Linked DNA regions of Lonchura striata. The protein of the gene in region 1 binds, or shares a complex with, the protein of each later gene. Links are inferred from orthologs where the notes say so. Each region holds a gene or a part of one and is shown in the gene's direction. Other genes may lie near its edges.

The links.
Region 2: APOO (region 1) and MICOS13 share a complex: the UniProt entries of both Homo sapiens proteins name them as parts of the mitochondrial contact site and cristae organizing system (MICOS) complex. The link is inferred for Lonchura striata from reciprocal best matches to the Homo sapiens genes APOO and MICOS13.

What each region holds. Positions count from the first base shown.
Region 1 is NC_134604.1:103,814,815-103,825,626, reverse strand, and holds the start of APOO (MICOS complex subunit MIC26), read left to right. Parts: upstream 1-6,845; 5' UTR 6,846-6,885; coding exon 6,886-6,894; intron 6,895-10,657; coding exon 10,658-10,765; intron 10,766-10,812. UniProt on the Homo sapiens protein: Component of the MICOS complex, a large protein complex of the mitochondrial inner membrane that plays crucial roles in the maintenance of crista junctions, inner membrane architecture, and formation of contact sites to the outer membrane.
Region 2 is NC_134630.1:4,052,829-4,063,338, reverse strand, and holds MICOS13 (MICOS complex subunit MIC13), read left to right. Parts: upstream 1-6,627; 5' UTR 6,628-6,692; coding exon 6,693-6,721; intron 6,722-7,874; coding exon 7,875-8,031; intron 8,032-8,779; coding exon 8,780-8,831; intron 8,832-9,259; coding exon 9,260-9,357; 3' UTR 9,358-9,926; downstream 9,927-10,510. Other genes in the region: HSD11B1L (hydroxysteroid 11-beta-dehydrogenase 1-like protein), read right to left, coding at 771-945, 1,183-1,345, 1,667-1,760, 2,743-2,834, 3,210-3,321, 4,466-4,592, 5,248-5,336. UniProt on the Homo sapiens protein: Component of the MICOS complex, a large protein complex of the mitochondrial inner membrane that plays crucial roles in the maintenance of crista junctions, inner membrane architecture, and formation of contact sites to the outer membrane.

The sequences.
Region 1 (10,812 bases):
TGCTGTTCTTTGAAAACAAGGGGAGTGAGATTGATCTCTGTGTAAGTTAAATAAACTAAATACCTTAGCCAAGGAAATCTCAGTACAAAATTGTTAACACCCAAATAATAACGAATTGTACTCTGCAGAACTTCTGCTTCTTAAAAAGTGATCAGAGATTCTCAATTTTAATTTTGTCCTAGCTTTGCTATGCAGAGATTTTTATTTTTCCCATGGCAAAAATTAATTACAAGAATGTATTTTTTGCTAAACTTGTTAAACTGGATTAGAAAGCCACAGAGAAATCTGCCCTCAGATCTGCAGCCTTGTTCAAAGCAGGGCAGAACACATTAATGTGACTGGATGGGTTAGCAATTTTCCAGTACTTTAACTCTTGATGATTTATGCATCTGCTGTGGATGGAAATAATCCAATATCCTCCAGAGATAATTCCTGGAACCAGACATACAATTTACCTGTTTCATATTCCCATTTTCTGTAAAAATGGATTGATCCCTCAGGCTTTTCAGTTCATGAAATTGCCACTCTTGATGTTCAGTGAAGTTGCTCCTATTTGTAAAACCCAGTTTCTGGGCCTGTGTAATATTCTGCATTGTTACATGCAGAGAAGAGCGAGAACCTATTTGATCACACTTGAGCAATGTGACATTTTTCTCATCTATACAAGAGCCAAAGCAAGCTAAAGTGTTGTTTTTTGGTGTGCCAGCACCATATTGTACTAATTCACGAGTCTGAGGAGATAGTTTCAAATGCTATATTCTATAGAAGCAGTTAAAATTTGGCTCTGTCAGGCTGTGCCCCACTGCCCTGTGCCCCCTTGGTTCCTGCACCATGAGCTGTAATCATGCCAGCCATGGCCCTTGTCCAGAGGGAGTGGGGGGTAGGCATCAATGGTGTCACATGAGAAGCAGTGGGGGATAGCAGTGTGTTAAACAGATCAGGGATCATTAGGGGACACCTCTAAATGACTGCTTTGGTCAGTGATTGTGAGAGACCTATCCTAGAGTTTCCTAAATGCACTTCAGGACTAAGCTTGTGTAAGGTTGCTGTTGCTCCTCTTGGCACATGCTCCTAGAAAGAAGCAATAGTGGGAGGTACCAGATATGGGGTTTAATTAAAATGAGGCAAAGGAATGCAAAGGTGCAAACCCAGCCTGAACAAATGCCATGGTACCACAGAGCAAGGAATGGCAGAAGGACTTCCTGACCAATGATTTCTGCACAAAAATGAGATTTTGTTCCAAAAAGGGTATTTTGCTTCCAGAAGGAATGTGTACCTTTAACTGAAAATTATTTGGTAGACCTAGAAATTAGTTTAGGTAAATAATGTACTACATTTAATATGCATGCATATTTATGAAGATATGAAAATCAATACATTTACAGGCAAATGAGGTAAAGCTATTCACATCACCTTACTAAGAAATTAGGGATTCCTGTGAAAATATTTTTTTAAGGTAAAAAAAATTCATGTACATAATATATACAGACTGGCAATAGATGCAGGACCTTTCATCTGGCTTGAGCTGATTTCCAGAATGTATCCTGTTCAACTGAAATCTGAGGTGTATTTTAATTTTGAAAGGAGTTGGGTTTTGTTCTGATGAGTATTTACGGGCATCAAAAAGCTGTTTGTGTTCCTAGTGCTACTGGTAGCCTGTTACCTGGGCTTTACTAGACAATCCACACATTTCTGGTGGTGGTATCAACAACCTGTTGATAGAATGACAGAAGAATTACTCACTGTGGCTGGAAGGAGTAGCTGAAAAATGTGGAACCAGAGCTACTGGTGGCTGCAGCAAGAAGCCAAGGATTTGAATTAGGGAAGGGACATTAGGGTTTTTAACCATGGTATATCAAAAGTTAAATAGATGCAGTTGAATTATACTGAGGTTTTTGCATTATGTATGTCTCTCTTCTACCTGCCCCTTGTCTTATTTTATAGAATCTTTATTTGGAAAGCACAGAGTGTATTCTGAATGCTGTCAAAATGTGAGAAAGCTGGTGAGACAACAGGTGCTGAAGTTCGTCCTGGTTTACCTCAGATGTGAATGCAGTAAAGACTTTGCTGCAATTAAAGGTAGGTCAGTGAGAACACAAATAGCTCTGCAATGGCATCTGTTCTCAACACCCAATTTACTTTCTGAATGTGTGACTTTGCTTCCAATAAAGGGCCTTTGACAAAGGTCGAAAAACGACCAACCTTAGCTATTAAAAGAAAAAGCACAGGGTAAGTTTCACTCTAAATAAGATGGTATTAAATAAAAAACCTGTTCAATTTCTGCTTGTTTTTGTTTTTTGTTTAGGAAGTAAATAAAGTAGAAAGGATGAAGGGGTATTCTTATGGACATGCAAACTACTCCCCTTTACAAAGGTTTTGTGAAAAGTGTCATCATGCACACAATAAAAGGCAGTTCAACTAGCTGCCTAACAAATATGTGCTAAAAGTGACAGGAACCTGAGAAATGGATCAGTGCTTTTCAGACCCGCCCAGCAAAGCTGTGTGCCCCCTCCCAGCACTGGGTGAAGCTGTTAGCAACTGAAGGTTGCATTTACTGGAGCCCTTGTTTTTGTGTATTCCCAATTAACTACATGTTTTCAAAGAACTTGAAGAGAGATCTGCCAAACAGCATTATTTCCACTTACAACACAAACAAAAAGCTCTAAGAGGCAGAAGAGCGGTTTATTTTATAAGGACATCAAAACCCAATTCTGAACAGGCTGGCAAAACTGTAGTGACAAGTCATGGTACTTTTAAAAATCACTTGTTTTAATGAGAAAAGGTGCATGGAAGAACATGGGGGGGGGAGGGTGCTGAGGTTGTTTGTTTTAATACACAGAAGAATTATGAAGGAGAACATCAAACCAGCCTTCCAGAATTCTAATGTTTTCTAGTAATCAGTGTGAGTAGGTATTTGATGGACAGATGTTACACATTCATATTTTAAACATTGGAAAGCAACAAATCAATTTTTCTCTACAATTATACATGTATGGCAAAGAACTGAAATTATATTAGTAGTAAAGGAATGATTTTATTTTTCTGACCAAAAAAATAAACTGTAAACAAGCAATCTAATACAACATTATGAAAGTTCAGACCATAATAACTAAGGCATTGGATTAGAGATCTAATTTCTTAAATTGTATTTCTGCCTGTGATGACATAGTTTATGAAGTGTGGCAACATTTTCAAGCTTCTCTAAGCTGCAGTTTTCTGAAGGAAATGTGTCTTTCACAAGTGTTTACAAAAGCCAATTTTCTAAAAATACTGGCATGCAAAATCAAACTGAAATTTGCTAGAGGTCCTTACATTAGAAACAGCCAGGAGTCAATCATGCCAAACCTCTTTATTCTGTGGCCTCAGCAGCAGAAACTTCCATTCCTTTTTAAGCCTGTCTGACAGTGTTCTGGACCGTGCATAATCCATTATGCCATATATTATCCTTGTCCCAGGGAAATTTGGCAGGGACAACTTCTCCAGTATAAGAGAGGACTACACCTACATGAAAGCAAAGCTATTTTTATTGTTCTCTACAAAGGTTTTCCCATTTATTTTATTCTGTCTACCAATAGTTTTAAAGATTAATATCCACATTACCGAAAAAAGTGCACTGAAGATACCTGAGCTAATAAAATTATTTGAATTAATTTTTTTTAAAACAACCATCTATTCTTCAGACACTTATATCTGTTTTACATAATTGTATTAATAATTTCTATACAGCCACTGCATATAAATTGACAACAAAAATATGTATTTGTAACATTTACACATTTTATGTCCAGAAAGAATTGGAATGTTCTTTACTGTTCATGTACCAAACTTAAAAAGAAATATTCTTATGTCTGCCTCCTGCAAAAATTGAGAAAAATTGAGGAACAGTTGATCCTACCCATGGCATGGGAGTTAGCTTTGGTTGAAAACTAACCAGAGCAGGTGCCACTATTCACCTTGATGTCATCACTCCTCTTGTGGCCTCACTTGTAATTTTGAGCTTTGAACATTTTCTTTCTCAAACTCTTTGAGAATTACTATTAAAATGCATCAAAAAATGCAACTGCTTTGCAAACTACACCATCACTCCACATCCTGACAAAACCTCCACAAAATGCTACCAATCAGTCTTCTATAAACATTCGCCTCGCTCTGGCTGCTTATATTCTGTAAACGATTGTACAAAGCACGGTGCAATGGAGAAAAAGGACAATTGGTGTTCCTCACTCATTGGTCACTTGGGTGCATTTTAGGTTTAACTTTTCTGTGCTAAAATATTTATAATGAAATCAAATAAAATACCAGTATTGTCTGTGGGTACTGGAGCTCATCTTGTACCATTTGTTCATGGTATTTCTGCTGTCCTGTTAATTTGCTGTTAAGGAGCATTGCTCAGTTCTGCAATGTAGTGGTTAAACTGCTTATGTTAGGTCTATAAAGAATCTGCAGTAAAGAAATGTAGGAATTTTAAGAGAGAACAACAATTACCATCACAAAGAAGATCGTGCAAGAGTGCATACCTTGTACTGTTCCTGATGAAGTGTTTGCTACCTATTCTTCAGGTGATTCACCTTTTGCATTAAAATTCTAACATTTTCCAAGACTAACATGGTGCTATTCATAGTCTAAAATCAGTGTTAGCTTTTTTCAAGAAACTGTGTTTGTTGAACATCTCCAGGGATGCTGACTCTACCACCTCTCTGGGCAGCCTGTTCCAAGTCCATTTTCTCATATTCATCTCCCACTGAGTTACAAGTCAGTCACTGTGGGTTGTAAACAACAGCCTCTCTTGCTGCAGATGTGAGCAGAAAAAACTTGCACCTGTCCAACTCACCTAAGTGAGCTGGGAGATGCCACAGGGGATGCAGAGACCAGAAATGTAAAAATACTGAGAAAAGGGTGCTTGATTTTTTTGTTTGTTTTTAATATCGTGAGATAGAAAGGCACAGAACCCTACCCATGCACTAGCCCCATTGTGCTGGTTTTGGCTGGGGTAGAGTTAATTCTCTTCACAGTGGAGGGTATGGGGCTGTGTATTGGATGAGTGCTGAACCCAGGGTTGATCATACAGAGATGTTTTTGTTATTGCTGAGCAGGGCTTACACAGAGCCAAGGCCTTTTCTGATTTTTGTACAGCCATGCTGGCGAGGGGCTGGGAGTGCATGGGAGTAGACGCAGCTGGGATAGGTGATCCCAGCTGATGAAAGGGATATTCTGTCTCCAACACATGAGTAACAAAAACATCTCTGTATGATCAACCCTATGTTCAGCACTCATCCAATACACAGCCCCTTACCAGCCACTGTGAAGAGAATTAACTCTACCCCAAACTAAATCATGCTCACCGATGTGAATTATTCTGGCAGTGAGCCAGGAGGACACTGATGTGGCAAGTGTATTTCTCTCCCTCTCAGGATTTTTCATAGAGGTGCACAGAGAGCAGTTAGAGAGAAACCAATTTCTGCTCTTTGTTTTCCTGTGTGGAATGTGTTTGGAGAATTGTTTACCTGAAGTGAGTGCTTGATTGGATTCTGGCGAGGATTGTTTGAGCCTGATGTCCGATCAATCCACCTGTGTCTGCACTCTAAAGAGAGGGTTAGGAGTTGTGAGAATTAAGAGAAGGTAGTATATAGTTTTAGTATCTTCCTTTATCTAGTATGTTAACGTATTTTAGCATAGTTATAATAAAGAAATCATTCAGCCTTCTGAATTGAGTCAGACATCGTCACTTCTTCCGATTGGGTTGGCCGGCATTTGCAATGCAGGGGAGCCGGTGAAGGGCGTGGGGAGTCCTGCGGGGAGCGGCTGAGGGAGCGGTGTGTGTCCGGCCGGCTGAGGGGGCCCCGGCACTGCCCGCTCCAGCGCGGCTCTGCGGCCGGCGGCAGGACGAGGACACAGACCTGAGCCGCGCCGGAGAGCCTTTAGTGGGACTCAGCAAGAATTTCTTCACAGAAAGGGTGAGCAGACATTGGAATGGACTGCTGGCGGAGTCACCGACCCTGGAGAGGTTTAAGGAAAGGCTGGACGTGGCGCTCAGTGCCATTAGCTTTTCTCAAGAAACTGCGTTTCTTGAAGACGTCCGGGGATGGTGACTCCACCAGCCTGGTGGTGCCGTGGTCTAGCTGACGTGGGTTTGGTAACAGGCTGGATTCGACGCTCTCAGAGGTCTTTTCCAACCTCATTGATTCCTGTGACTGATTCTGTGAACGGCCGAGCCTTCCTCACAAAGGTTGCAGGGCAGCACAGGGAGCCGTGCGGCGGGGCTGAGGATCAGCGTGCAAGCGCTTTGCTCCCACAGGAGCCGTGCGGCGGGGCTGAGGATCAGCGTGCAAGCGCTTTGCTCCCACAGGAGCTGGGCCGTGCAAGCGCTTGGCTCCCACAGGAGCCGTGCAGCCCAGCGTGTAAGCGCTTTGCTCCCACAGGAGCTGGGCCGTGTAAGCGCTTTGCCCCCACAGGAGCCGTGCAGCCCAGCGTGTAAGCGCTTTGCTCCCACAGGAGCTGGGCCGTGTAAGCGCTTTGCTCCCACAGGAGCTGGGCCGTGTAAGCGCTTTGCTCCCACAGGAGCCGTGCCGCGGGGCTGAGGATCACCGTGCAAGCGCTTTGCTCCCACAGGAGCTGGGCCGTGCAAGCGCTTTGCCCCCACAGGAGCCGTGCAGCCCAGCATGTAAGCGCTTTGCTCCCACAGGAGCTGGGCCGTGTAAGCGCTTGGCTCCCACAGGAGCCGTGCCGCGGGGCTGAGGATCAGCGTGCAAGCGCTTTGCTCCCACAGGAGCCCGCCAAGGCCGGAGCCCCTCCGCCGCCCGGGCGGCGGCGGCAGCGCGCGGGGCCGCCCCGTGACGTCACGCCGCGGTGACGCCGTCGCCCCGTCGCCGCGCGCCCGGCGCCGCCATGTTCAAGGTGAGGAGGGGTCCCCGGCCGGGCCCGCCGCCGGCCGCGCTCGGGGCTCCGCGCTCCGCCCGCGCCCTCTGCCTCTCTCCTCTCCGCCGCTCTCACTGCCGCTGTCCTCGCAGCTGCTTAGCCGCTCCTCTTAGCGCTTCGGAACCGCGTGCCCTCGCGTTGCACGGAGAGGGGCACACTCCCGATTTACAGCCGCTGCCGGGTGCCCCCCGCGCAGATTCGTCCCTTCCGTACGGGGCTGCCCGCACCGCGGGGCTCTGTCACCGCTCGGTTCGGGCCCGGGCAGCTGTCGCTTGAAAGCGTCGGTTCGATCTTGAAAAGTTTCCTTTTAGTGCCTGAAGGTTGCCAGCGAAACCTGCGGAAAGCCCCGTCCGGCTCTGGCTGTCTCAGAGATTTCTGCCTGTGGTTAGAGCAGCCCCAGATCCCATCAGGCTAAAAGCAACTCTGTGCCAGTCAGATCGTTGTTAGGCTGCTTGCTTAAAAAAAACACCAAACCACCAAAACCTGGTGATGCTCGCTTCTTGGTATTCATTTTCCTTGGTACCATTTTCTGTGTGAAATATTGATAATATATCTAGATACCAGTATACCGAGGATACTAAATAGTAATATATAACATCTCAACATGAGGAAGAACTTCTTTATGTTGAGGGTGGCAGAGCACTGGAACAGCTGCCCAGGTCGTGGAGTCTCTCTGGAGGCATCCAAAGCCCACCTACCAGCACATGTTCCTGTGTCACCTGCTCCAGGTGACCCTGCCTTGGCAGGGGGTTGCGCTAGATGATCTCCAGAGGTCCCTTCCAACCCTGACAATTCCGGAGTCTGTGATACTGATGTGCTGAGCCCTTGCTTGCTCTGCTCTTGTCATAAATTCCTTTTTCTTTATGTCCTTTAATGCTGGAATTCTGTGCACAGAATCATTGAGGATTCCATAATTGATGCTGAATTGTCATTGGAGGGTTGATATGTGAGCCTGTGCATTTAGGCACTATCTGTATTAGTGTATTAGTACTTTTACATAGCCAGTGAGGATTTATGTCCTTCAGGCCAACCTGATGTTATGCCTCTAAGAGCCAAAGGGAAGGTAGCTTTTTGTCCAGGATACTTTTGCTTCAGGGACAGGAATGTTCAAGAATTTGGATTTTGGTTTGATGTTTTTATGGTTTGGGCTGAGAAATAGGAGGAAGAATAGAAAAAGATGAGGAAAACTGTTTTCATACTTTAGGACCAGTATCAGCCTTCTCAAAAGTATGCTCAAGCTTTTCCTATCAAGTCCTAAAGATAAAATTGAATTCTTAGCTAGAGAGGAGTAAATGTATCTTTTTTGCTTAAAATAACTGCAGAGCATTGCCAATAGAAAAGAATGTCAGCTCTGCTTTTCTGATACTGAGTGGCTATAGGACTGGCAGGCTGAAGGCACAGCTCAATCAGTCCAAATGTTTTACTAAAGCAATTGTTTTGGTAATATATGGTTAGTATGGAAATCAAAAATGAGATCCTACAGGGCATTTTGGAAACAAGTACAGCAGCTGATCTTTCATACTCCCAAGTAGTTCTGTGTATGCAAATATGCAGTATTTCAGCAGTAGTTCTGCCTGTCCCATGAGGTAGCTGATGTAGGAGACCATTGAAGTATGATTTGAACAGCACATTTAAGAAGAGATTCAACTTGCACTTTCAGAGGTTAGTTTCATTTTGTTAAAAATTAAAAACAATGGAAAATGTCTGCACTTCAGTATCTTGATAATATAAACAGTTAACTTTTCAGTCTGAGTAGTCCTATGTCACTGATACTGTTTTGTGAAACCCAGGTGCTTCCAGTCTTGTGCTGTGCTATTTGTGTCTTTATATAAAAATCTCAAATATCTAAAACATTTGGTTTTACTGTTTATACTTGTGACACTTAGCACCATTTACACTGTTTGAAAACATATTACAAAGAGAAAATGCATTTAGATTTTTGCCTTTTCAGTGACATAACAGTTTTGCAGTGAAAAAATGAAAGATTGAGGAAATAAACTCTACGGCTATTAATGGTTAGTAGTGTTTGTTTTTGTCCTGGCTAACAGAAGTATGTGAAAAGTGTTTAAGGAAACACTATTAAAGATTATCCTTGTCTTTCCTTGGCTTTGAAACAGCTGATCCAGTCATTGTGGTGTTTCATTTATAGTGATTTAGTAATGAGTCCATAAATTCAGACAAGGAAAAACTTCAATTTTAAGCAAGTTTTTCCATACCTTTTGACCCACCAGATCCCTTACATCTTCCAAAAAACAATCATGTGACCTAGTTCTTGTGTGCTGTTTCTCTACACTTAAATGAACATTTTCAGGAAGTTTCATAACTGTGAAGTCTAATTTTTAGTTTGAGGAGTCTATTGGTTACATTTAATAAGCATTCCATCTGCAAAGCAGTGGAAGAAATTTAAGCTGCAAATGCTTGACTGCCTACAATAAGCTGATGTGGTGTGGATAATTTTAAAGCTATTTTCTAACAGTTCTGTGAGAGACAGAGCAGTTGTGCCGTGGCTGGGCCAGTCACCACCATCACAGTGTGAAGGAGGGATGGTTTGACCACGGCTTCAGTGTCACAAGCAGCTAGGTCAATGCAACAGACCCCGCTATTTGTTGAAAGGAAGAGGCCTTGCTGCCTTCTCCTTTCTCATCCCCTGTCCCCTGGACCATACAGTTCCTCTGGTGCTTGTCAGGCTGTTTCATGGAAGGGTTCAATTTGCTAAGCCCGCACAAAGCTCTCCGCTTCTCTTTCAGGATTAATCTTTTGCCAAATTGGCCAGGTGAATTGCCTCCCGGTGGAAGCATCCGGCCACCAAAGCTAGGGCAAGGTGAGCAGCAGGACTTCTGGGAGCCAGTGCTGGAGAGGAGCCAGACGCCTCCAGTTTGGTGTTAGATCCACTCGTGCTGTAACCTGATCCAGCAAAACACAGGCTGTTGTAACTCTGCACATTTCCATTAATAAAGATGTGCATTTGCTGGAAAATGCTCTCTGAGCATTCTTAATTTACTGTGCAGCTAAGATTTTTTTCTTCTGTTTAAGTTGAAGCAGACTTTCCCTTTAAGAAATTCAGTTTAGCATAGGTCCTGAATACTGGAAGAATTATATCCACCTTACTAGTGGTGGTTGCATGATTGGATTGAATTTATTCAAAAAAACAGTCAAGTAATTAATGTTTCTTACAAAAAGTAGGAGACATTCCTAAAATTCTTGGAAATAATTGATTTTGTTCTGGTATTTATAGCTGTAGGTCTACTTGTTTTCCTAAATCTATATGCAGATATTAAGTAGAAGTAAAACACTGAACTTCTTGGTACTACTATGGAAAAATGGAGGTATTATGAGCATTCACAAAGTTGTTTAAAATATGAGTATAATCTTTGATAAAGAATATAATACATTCTTTGAGAAAGAATATAATCTTTGAATGAGAAAGTTAATACAAAAATTACTTAAAACAAGATCTTTTTTATGAGATGAAAACTAATGAGATTAGCCTTTATTTCTACTGCCTCATTTAGCCTTAGGCATTTTCAAATACTATCTGAGTGATTTAGATGTTACTGTACTACATCAGTGCCTGAGAGCATTAGATTGTGTACTGCTGACCCTCCTTTCTCCTAATTTCCAAGCATCTATTGAGATCACTTTTTACCAAGTAGAGGGACATAAACATTGCCTGGGTGTGTTCAGACACGCTGCAGTTTTGTTTGCACATAATGATGTACCTGTCCTCCGGTAATGTTTCCAGGTAATTCGGCTGGGGGCCACCCCTGTCAGCCTGAGCTTGCTCTCTGTCCAGGTTTTTGCTGCTTCTTCAGAGAAGACTTCCAAAAAGGAGTTGCTGAAAATTGAGGAGGTAAGTGTGGTTATAGCCTTGGTGCTCTTCTAGTTAAAGAATTCTGA
Region 2 (10,510 bases), on another chromosome or scaffold:
CAAGCATTTACAGTTTCTTCCATCACAGTTACTGATGTGACTGTACAATGTTACAGGTGCGATACAAGCTTTGTCAATGTCAAATTCCTCACTCTGGTCAAAAAAAAAATCCTAAATTTATTTAATAAAAGTTTTACTTGCTAAGTAACTGGGGCTCTCCTTCATGTTGTTTGTTGCACCTGCTTTTAGGTAATGCTTACACTTGAAGACATTGCCAAAGCCCTGGGCTAATCTAACAGGTCACATGGGGTCAGCAAACAGACCTTGGCCCACAGAATCCAGGGGACCAATATTTCTTCACAGAGGAAGCATCAACACATATCACCAACACATTAAAAACTTGTTTAATATAAAATAGAGATAAAAATTCTACTTAGAGGAAGCAAGGGGAATCTAAAATGAAGTAGTGGAGGAGGATGTCCCTGGAATGTACAGCTATTCCAGGACATCCTGTGCAGACAGACAGGGAGGGGTTAAAGCTGGGGCTGAGCAAAGGCTGGATGCAGTCAAAGGAGACTGGTGAGGCTGAAGGAGGAGGGGAGATGGGAGGAGGGCTAAGGCAGAGTGAACAGCGGGAAAGGTCTCTGACTGATGGGTAGCAGCAGCAGAACCATGGCTGAAGCATGATTACAGACCATGAGTCTGTTAGGAAAAGGGGACTTTGCCACCACTGCTGCCCTGCTCCTGCTTGACACCAGTGGTTGAGTGGGGTGCTTAGTGGGACGGCAGGAATGTGATTAGAAGGGCTGTAGGATGAGACCGGGCACCCCTCAGGGACTGCTGCAGTTATAGAAAGTCCGTAGCACGCTGTTCCCGCTGCTGGGGAACAGAGCCCAGAGGCAGCGGAGCTGCTGCAGCCACCGCGGGTAGAAAATCTCGTGCGCCCGGGTGGCCCCGCCCCGGACGATGGCGAGGAGCGGGGAGGCTCTGAGCTGCACTTTGCCCCTGCAAGGCAACGGGCACAGGGTCGCTCCAAGCCAGGCAGCCCCTGCTGGGGTTCGAGCTGGGCACGCTGACCCCACAGGGCTCTGCCTGCTCCCGTTCCATAATGAACAACCCCTGTGGTGTGCCCAGGCAGGTTCACCCTCCCCAGGCAGATGCACACACCCTCTTGGAGAGAGCTGCTGTGCATACTTTGGCATGTTTTCTAGAAGAGATGCATTCCTGCGGAGAAACACATACCTGGTGCACTCCAATGCTGACTCAGTATCAATCAGGCCCAGGATGCACAGTGTGACAGACACATCTTTCTTCTGCATGATGAGCTCATGGCACAGTGAACTGAAAAATCCATCCAGTGCAAACTTGGTGGCAGAGTAAGTGGTGAATGGAGTGGGCATTTTCCCTGGAAAGGGAAAAGAAAGAATGGAAAACCCCAGGAAACTGGGTGTAAGGAGGATCCATGGTGAGGGAATCTGGGAGAAGATGCAGGCTTTGTCATACAGTATCAGCTCATGTTCTGTTCAGGTGAGTCTCCCTTTATGTAAGTATATTAGAATACTATTACTATATTATTATTTATTATAATATTATTATATACTATTAAAAGCACAGTTTGAAAATGTATTTAGGAGTTGAACAATAGAGAAATATGAACAGTACTGGGAATAATTTTTTCCACAAGGCCAAGTAATATTTTCTACTTACTCCAGGCAAAATCACCAACCTGTGAGGGAAGAAACAACCACCAGAGCACCTCTGTTCTTCTCCAGGGTGGGAAGAGCTGCTGTTGCAAGAGCCACGTAACTAAAAAAATTCACCTGGAATAATAAATGTAGACATTTATTATAAAGAAGCAAGAGGGTTTGGAAGCGTGAGCCAAGCAAGTCAGTAGAGTGATCAGAAATGGAAATGAGCATGGTTTGGAATTGCCTTCTCAAACATCAAATGAGAAAAATCATCTCTATAGATGGGGACAAGCATTGCATCCATGAGTCTTTCAGATTCCAGAAGAAGATCCAGAGCAAAGGTTATGCCTGGGCTTTAACATGCAGATTTCCTGACAAGATAAAATTAGCTGTCCCTGCTTTTTCTTTATGCTATTCTTTGCTCTGCAATCCCTACCAAAGACACCACTTTCAGTTTGCTACGTTTCTTGTAAGTTTCCTTGTAAGCTTCTCTTGACTGAGCTCAGACTACAATGAGGCACAAAATTCAGCATCTCTTCAGAGCTTGACTGCTCTCAAGAATTTCTTACCTATGTTCCTATGTTCCCACACTCTAGCAAAAAGACTCCTTCCAAAATGAAATAGAAACTAGTATGACCCACCTGAATGAAGAAGACTGAATCAAGAAAACAGCTCTTCATTTCCATGGCCCCAAAACCTGGCACCAGAGTGATTCTACAGGAAAACTCTAAATCTGTTAACAGAGACTCAAATGGCAGACACCATTTCAAACAACTTTGTGTTCTGCAATTGTGTACATGCCATAGACTAGTAGGAAATGCTGGCTGCTGACTTAGAGACCTTCCTGAACTAAACACAACTGCCTGGAACTACCCATCAATCCCAAACTCGGCTAAAGGGAGGTAAGAAGGACAGAAGGAAGAAGTCTGAAGTTCTTCCCGAACATTCCTCTTCACAAATGTACAACATCTGAGCAAAACACCTCTCTAGCAACAAAGCCTCCAAACTGCTTGTCTCAACCACTGCCACAGATGTGGATTTGCCTTGGAGCTTCCCAAAGCTGCTGCAGGAAAAGCCAGGCTCACCCAGTTCCAGGTGAGCTGGGCAGCCTCACCGGCATGAGCCAGCAGGTGTATTCCACATCTCCAGCCCACTCCTGGAAGCAGTTGGTGCTGGCGTGGTTCAACACGAGGTAGTCCAGGCCCCCTTGGACAGCAGAAAAAGCAGTCACACAGTCACACAAGGGGCCCATCCCCTGACCATCAATCGGGGAGCTCAGAAATGCCAGGAGGGCTCAACCACTCCCTCAGAAGGCTGGAAGTGCTTTACCATGAAGACAGATTAAATATGCCCAACTGGGAGCAGCTTTGACTGCTCCTCAGGAATAGAACTGAAAGGAAAACTGATTTTAACAATAACTCCCTGAAATGATGTTTCAGCATGATTCAGGCTCAGAACTTAGTTCTGGTGGTACATCTACAACCTTAACACCTTTCTCAGTTGAAGGAACTGAAGCAGGAAGCTCCTAGAATGAGAATTGTGCTTACACCTGAAAGCCAAAGAGATGCTCAGGATGCTTACCCAGCTTTTGGACAGCAAACTGAACCATCTTTTCAGGCTCTGAAGGGAAAGACATATCTGCAGCGATATAAAATATTTTCTTTGCTCCAAGTGTCAGGCATTTCTCCACTACCTTGAAAAAGAACACATCCCAAAGATTAAAATATTTGGAAAAAGATTAGGGGAAAAGGGCACCATAAAGCACATACTACAGTCAGTGAGAGTTAGTTCTGGACAGAGACACACTTTAATTTAAAATTTACTGCTGTTTGGGGCATGGAGAGCTCATTCTGCATCCAGACTTTGAATCTGCATCCTGCAAGGAGTTGCCTCTATTTAACTGTCTGCTTAAACGATCTACTTTGGGACAGGATCAAGATTCACTGAAAAAAACCCCAATCTTCTTCAGGAGAAATCTTCTGGAACAAGAGTTATGCTTTACATTAAGTTCTTCTCTTTTTTCCAGAATAACTGGAAAAGAATTCATGTTTCATAATTCCTTTGCTATGTTGAGTGTGTGAATGTGCCTGGCATTATTTTAGCTATTTGCTGAAATAATGCCTTCCAGTCATTAGGAACTATTATTACACTCACTGTCCCCAAGTCACCTTTTGCACCATTTCACAGTGAAGATCCTTCCTTGGAAGTCACACATCTCCACAATTAAAGAGTTAACCTTTCTAAATATTTTCCATTTCATAAAGATGGAATCTCATCTGTTGGAGTTAGTCAAAAAGCATTTAACCTATAAAAAGTCTTGAGTTTTTAACAAAACAGCTACAAATAGAACAATTTGGACTCTGAAAATCTGGAAAATATTGCACAAGAATTGTAGTTCATGGAGTATCTCAAATCGAAAAGGACCCATAAGGATCATCAAATCCAAATTCCTGCTCCTCACAGGATTCCCTCAAACCAAACTTTATCATTACGGATGTGGCTCAGATATTCCTTGAACTCTGACAGGCTTGGTGCCATGACCACTGCTCCCTGGGGAACAGGGAGTGATCACCCTCATAGTGGAGAACATTTTCCTAATGTCCAGCCTGAACTTTCCCTGATGCAGCTTCACACCATCCCCTCATATAAATAAATGTTCAGGCAGTTAAAAGCTCAGGCACTGTATTTGCATCTTCTTGTACAGGCCAACTTCTCTTCTGGGTTTATGCTTAACAGTTCTGAAGGAAAATCTATCATGCTGACAACGAATTTTTTTGTTGGCTTAGTAAAAGCCCGAATCTCTCATGTCTTCCCCCATACAAGGATGAGGTTCTTACCTTCTGCAGCACAGCTTCCCTTATGTCAGTCAACACAATTTCAGCCCCAAATCTGGCATAATGATATGCTATCTGCTCTCCAATCCCAGCACTGGCTCCAGTTATGAGAACACAGGCACCAGACAGGCTCTCTTTTTTATGGGAAAGAGAATAAAAGATACAGAAGTAAGTGAAGAAAGAGCAGACGAGCTGCCTTAAATACTAGCAGAGCTTTAAAGAAGAAAGATGCACCCACCTAATTGCTCAAAATTCCTGGTGCTTCTCCAAAACTAGAAGAGGCAGGACTGGTGATGCAATGACATGATGATGCCAGCTAGCTGTGTCACAGGGCCTAGCCTGGGTTGCTAGAACAAAATCTTTCAAGAACCAAGTTGTTTTTCACCTTCTGAGAAGCTGTACAACATAAACCAGGCTATGTGCTCTCTGCATATCATTTACTCATCAGTCTGGAGACACATCAGCCCTCTTGTGCCAGGCACTGCACACCTACAGAAATGGTTCTTGACACCAAGGAATTTACAACCAAAACATAAAAAGAGCAAGGCAGTAGCAAAGTGTCATTTTCCCCCCACAGAGACAACAGGATCCTTGCTCTTAGACCATTTTGTCTTCCTCTTTGTTTCAAGTATCTCTTTGTTTCAAGTTTCTCTTTGTTTCTGGGAATGAAACATTGCTTTGGGGCAACCAACTTTAGTAAGACTACGGGTAGGAATGAGACCATCAGTCAAATTTTGGAAATTAAACCTCTTCCCTTGTGTAACTTTTATTTCAGCTTGGTGAGCCTTCCTGGGTTGAAGTCATCTTTCCAGAAGAAAGCTATGAGCCTAGCTACAGCCCCTGTAGCACAAAGCACTTTTCCAATTGGCTTCATATCCCTCCAAGCTGTGAGGAACAAAGTGAAGTCTTGAAGCTGAGCACTTCAGCCAAAATAATACTGTGTTCTCCTTCCTCTGATTCCTGGAGCCGCCCTGGGAGAGGCACGTAAAGGGTTTTGTAGAACCAAAGCCCGCCTGAAGGGTCTCTCCCCCGGGAAGGATCTTTCACCGGCAATTCCCGCAGCGCTCTGCATTCAGAGCCAGCCTCCACACACCGCCAGACCACAGGAGAGAAACCCCCCCGATCTTAGTGGCTAATCTTAGAGAACTCTTAATTCATTAAAGACTGATGACATCTGGCAGCAGTGACCCCAAAGCAGCCGGATCTCGGGAGGGAGGCGGCGGCAGCGCCCACAGGACGGAGCCTTGTCTGGCTAAGAGGAGCAGCGGGCTGAGCTGCTCCGCCACCGCGCTGCGACACAGCGCGACAAGACGGGCGGCGGGGACAGCGCCACAAAGGCGCAGGAGCCGCGCCCGGCCCCTCACACCCTCTGCCCTGCCCGGCCCCCTCACACCCCTCAAGTCTTGCCCGTCCCCTCACGCCCTCAGCCCTGCCCGGCCCCTCACACCCCACACGCCCCTCAGCCCTGCCCGTCCCCTCACTCCCCTCACGCCCCTCAGCCCTGCCCGTCCCCTCACTCCCCTCTCGCCCTCAGCCCTGCCCGTCCCCTCACTCCCCTCACGCCCCTCAGCCCTGCCCGTCCCCTCCCGCCCTCAGCCCTGCCCGTCCCCTCACGCCCCTCAGCCCTGCCCGGCCCCTCACACCCCTCAAGTCTTGCCCGTCCCCTCACGCCCTCAGCCCTGCCCGGCCCCTCACACCCCACACGCCCCTCACGCCCCTCACACCCCTCAAGTCCTGCCCGTCCCCTCACGCCCCTCACGCCCTTAGTCCTGCCACTCCCCTCTCGCCCTCAGCCCTGCCGTCCCCTCACTCCCCTCTCGCCCTCAGCCCTGCCCGTCCCCTCACGCCCCTCACTCCCCTCCCGCCCCTCAGCCCTGCCCGTCCCCTCACGCCCCTCACAACCTCAGCCCTGCCCGTCCCCTCACGCCCTCACGCCCTGCCCGTCCCCTCACGCCCCTCACTCCCCTCACGCCCCTCAGCCCTGCCCGTCCCCTCACGCCCTCAGCCCTGCCCGTCCCCTCACTCCCCTCACGCCCCTCAGCCCTGCCCGTCCCCTCACGCCCCTCACAACCTCAGCCCTGCCCGTCCCCTCACGCCCTCAGCCCTGCCCGTCCCCTCACTCCCCTCACTCCCCTCACGCCCTCAGCCCTGCCCGTCCCCTCACGCCCCTGACGCCGGCGGCGCGGGCGGGGCCGCGCGCGCACGTGACGGTCCCGGTGCCGCCGCCGCCATGGCCGCCCGCCTGCTGCCCGTTGTCAAGTGAGTCCCGCGGGCCCTGCCCACCCTCCCGGCCCGGCCCGGCCCGGCCCGGCTCGGCTCGGCCCCCCCGCACCCTCCGCACGGCGTTCCCCCCGTGCTCCCCGCGCCTCAGTGCTCACCGCTGTCCCCGGCCCGTCCCCAGGCCCGCGGCCGGCCCTGTCCGTGGCTCTGCTGGCTTCGCTGCACGCCCTTGGCCTCGCCTGCCCCCGCAGCTCCCCGTGTGTGTTCGTACACGCCGGGAGGGCCCTGCAGCTCCCTGTGGGCGGACATGGACGCGTAACAAAACCCGGGAGTAGCGCGGGGCTCGGAGCTGCTCGTACACCCACAGGAAGTGCGGAAGGGTATCCTTGGGAGCCAACAGTGCCTTTTAGCAGAAAGATCGCTTTTCCCCGAAATGCGTGTGAATACACGACTTTAAAAATTGGTTCGCTCTTGTCAGCTCTATTGTATCTGTCCTACTACTGCAGTACCGCTGTCTGCCAAGTTTTGGGTTGTACAATAACTTTGGCTGTTTTTTTTAAAGGGAAAACATTCCTCTGTGTATCTGAGAAAGTCACTTACCTCCGATCTCTTATTTAGAATGGAAATGCCAATAAATGCCAAATACTCTCTTCCCGTCTTCCCTTTTGTAGGTTGCCATCACAGCAGTAAAACTGGTAACTGCACATCATGCAGGAAACTTTAAAAGCCTTGGCAATGCAAACACCATGGCCAGGTGTTCACTGAGCATAATAAGATCTTGGTATCTGTCAGATTTATTAGATAAATATCAGATTTATCAAGAAGAACCACATTATTAACATGGATGGCTCGCCCACTGCAGAATTCTTTAATTGCTTTCAGCAGAGGAATATGCCAGTGATTCTCAGGCTTTAAAAAGTGGCACATGTTCTTGAGGAACTTGACACTTTCTTATTTTTATATTGAAAACCAACACTGATAAAATGTGAATTAGAAGTAGTTTCAAGGGGCTGACAGGCAGTAGTTGTCCTGGGAAGGCAAGGAACATAGGTAGGTATTTTTCTGCTGATTTTTACCTCCAGTAAGACATGAGATTTCTTTCCTGATACCCTCTTTGGCAGTCACAACCACTGAAAGAGATGCACTGATGGTCAGAACATGAACTGAACTGTTCTGCTTCCAATTCTTTCAGGTTTCTGATCAAAGGAGGCCTGGCTGGAGCTGCTGTGTACGTAGCACATGACCAGGGGCTGCTGGGCAGTGGCATAGAAGGTGCTGAAGCACTCAGAAAAGCTCAAGAAACGCTGCCTCCAACTATCCAAGAGTGGACAGATTACCTGGGCTGGGAGGTAAGGGCTGCTCGGGTGATCCCTGCAACACAAACATCTCTGAATCAGGAAGAGAAAATATAGGGGTGATATTCTGATTCTGGTGAGCCTGGTAGGAGTTTTACTGCTGAAACTGGATTTCACATTGCAAATATTTTGAAGAGGATTGAAATGGAAGGCAAATAAAATGCTAAATTTGGGGCAGAGACATTGCTCACAGATGTTATTTCAAAGGAGAGGGGTAAGCAGCCTATGCAGGGTCAAGGGGGGGAATTGCAAACATGCTCTGGGAGGTATTTCACTATGTAGTTTTCTTCTGAAGGATCCTACTTGTTTTTAAGAAAAACAATGAAAATATTATCCTCCCATTTTTTCACATTGCTAACAATTCAAGTTGAATTTAAATTGCTTGAAGAGGCCCCTCCTCTATGAGTAGCTCTTAGTTTTTAAAATCCTCAGAAAATAAGAAACCTTTGCTTAAAGTTTGAAAAGATTCTTCATATTACAAACAATTATAAACTAACAGAGACACCCAAGTAGATGATTTTTCAGGAGCACCTAAATAACATGTTCTATCTTTTGCACCTACTTTATATTGCAGGAAAGAGCAAAGCCCAGACTTTAAGCATCATGTCTGGTCACTTTTGAGGCTTATGGAGAGTAGGCACACAAGTATTTTTGAGATCTGAGGTCAAGAGGTTTTGCCAAGGTGATGTGAATTCCAAGTGAAACCCCTCAAGTGCTGATATTTTCTCTCTCTTTTTCCTAGCTCCCACCCACTCCAAAAATTGACTTTTCCCTCTCTGCTTACTGGAATAAAGGTAAAATAACTGCTCACTACCTGATTCTGAGCTCAGTCTTTGGCTTTTCAGAAAGGATGAGCATTCCCATTGCTATTATAATTTTAGGCATTTTTGCTTGAATGCCAAAGCCTGTTATAAATACCTAGTAATACACAGGTTTTATGGTGTAGCAAAGAATCTTTATGTAATTGTGGGGAAACACAATCCACAAATGACTGTGACATGTCCAGAACTGTAACTGTGGCAAGGCCAGAAATAAAACAGGACTTAAACAAAGAACTGAGCTCAGTCCTGTAATTGTCTTAGCTCATGTACAGACCCTGAAGTTGGAATTTCTGTGTCACAAATGCTCAGGGTTTAAAGAGATTTACAGTGGTGGTGTTGGAAATCGGGAAATTTGGCTTGAATGATGATCTTGGGGTAATTCTTCTCTGCTTTGCTTGCAGGGGTGCACAGAGTCATGTCTGCCTTGTCTGTAGCTCCCACCAGGGCCTGTGAATACACAGTGGAAGGCTGGAAATACGTGAAGGATCTTGTGAAATGAACAGGATTCTCAGTCCACCGCTCTGGAGGGCAGCTTGGCTGTGTAAGGGCTACAATAAAAGACTTTGGTGGAACTTCCATTTGTATTTGGGTTGGTTTTAGCCTGCAGAGTGGAATAATTGCTTTGTCTTAGCACTGATCCAAGGCTCCAGGAATCACAGATAGTTGTGATGAAGTGATGGCCATGTGCTGAGAACAGCTGTTCTAAAACTTAGAAATGAAATAGATTATCCTGAAGCTGAATTAATCTTGAAGGTGAATGCCATCTAATTCAAACCAAGCCAACAAGAGTTAAAAAAAAAAATTAAAAATCCAAGGTTACAGTAAAAGATGCTGTAAAAGATGGCCTAGGAGGATTATAAAAGTACAGGGGAGAGTAACTGATCAAAATTTATCTGCATGAAACCTTTTGTTAGCTTGCACTATGCCCCAATTGGCAGACTGTGCACATTTTCGTTTTAATGTGGATGAAAACTTTCACAATGTCACTTTTCGGTCACAGCCCAAGCAAATGTAAGGAGCACCAGTGGCCTGGAGGGCACCACTTGTAAAATAAAAGTTACAAATTGATTCTGTGTTTTTAACCCTCTTTGATAGGATTGTTACAATTACAGAATGTGCCAAACACAGCTGCAGAACAGGAAACAGCAGGAGGAGAGATGAGTCCTTACAAAAGTCAGGAAGCAAATATAGAACATGAGGATGAAGAAGGATTTACAGTTTTGTTTCCTTTTTTAACAAATAGATAACACGATGAAGCCAACTGCCCATAGATTTCAGAGGATTTGGCTAAGATGCAAATGGCTTATGTTAATTCCTGAAGGATGGGTCCATCAGCAGCTCTTAAACCAGATGGTCCAGAGGAAGCTTCAAGCTCAGTAAACCTTGAGCTCTGTCCTGCAGGTGCCAGATGTTTCACTGCACCCCAGAACCCAAATAGCCTCTCTATTAATGCACCATTTCTTCTCTAACTTTCCAATGTCCACTGCTCTTGAAGGAGCACAACTTGGGTTCCAGGTCTACTCCCCCTTCTCACCAGGCCAAACCTCCCACCAGAGATCCTGACATTCATCTAGTCTTCCTCTCTCTGGCTTTACTACAAACCAAATGGAACCACTTTGGGCAAGGCACACCATGTACAAACAGAACACTGC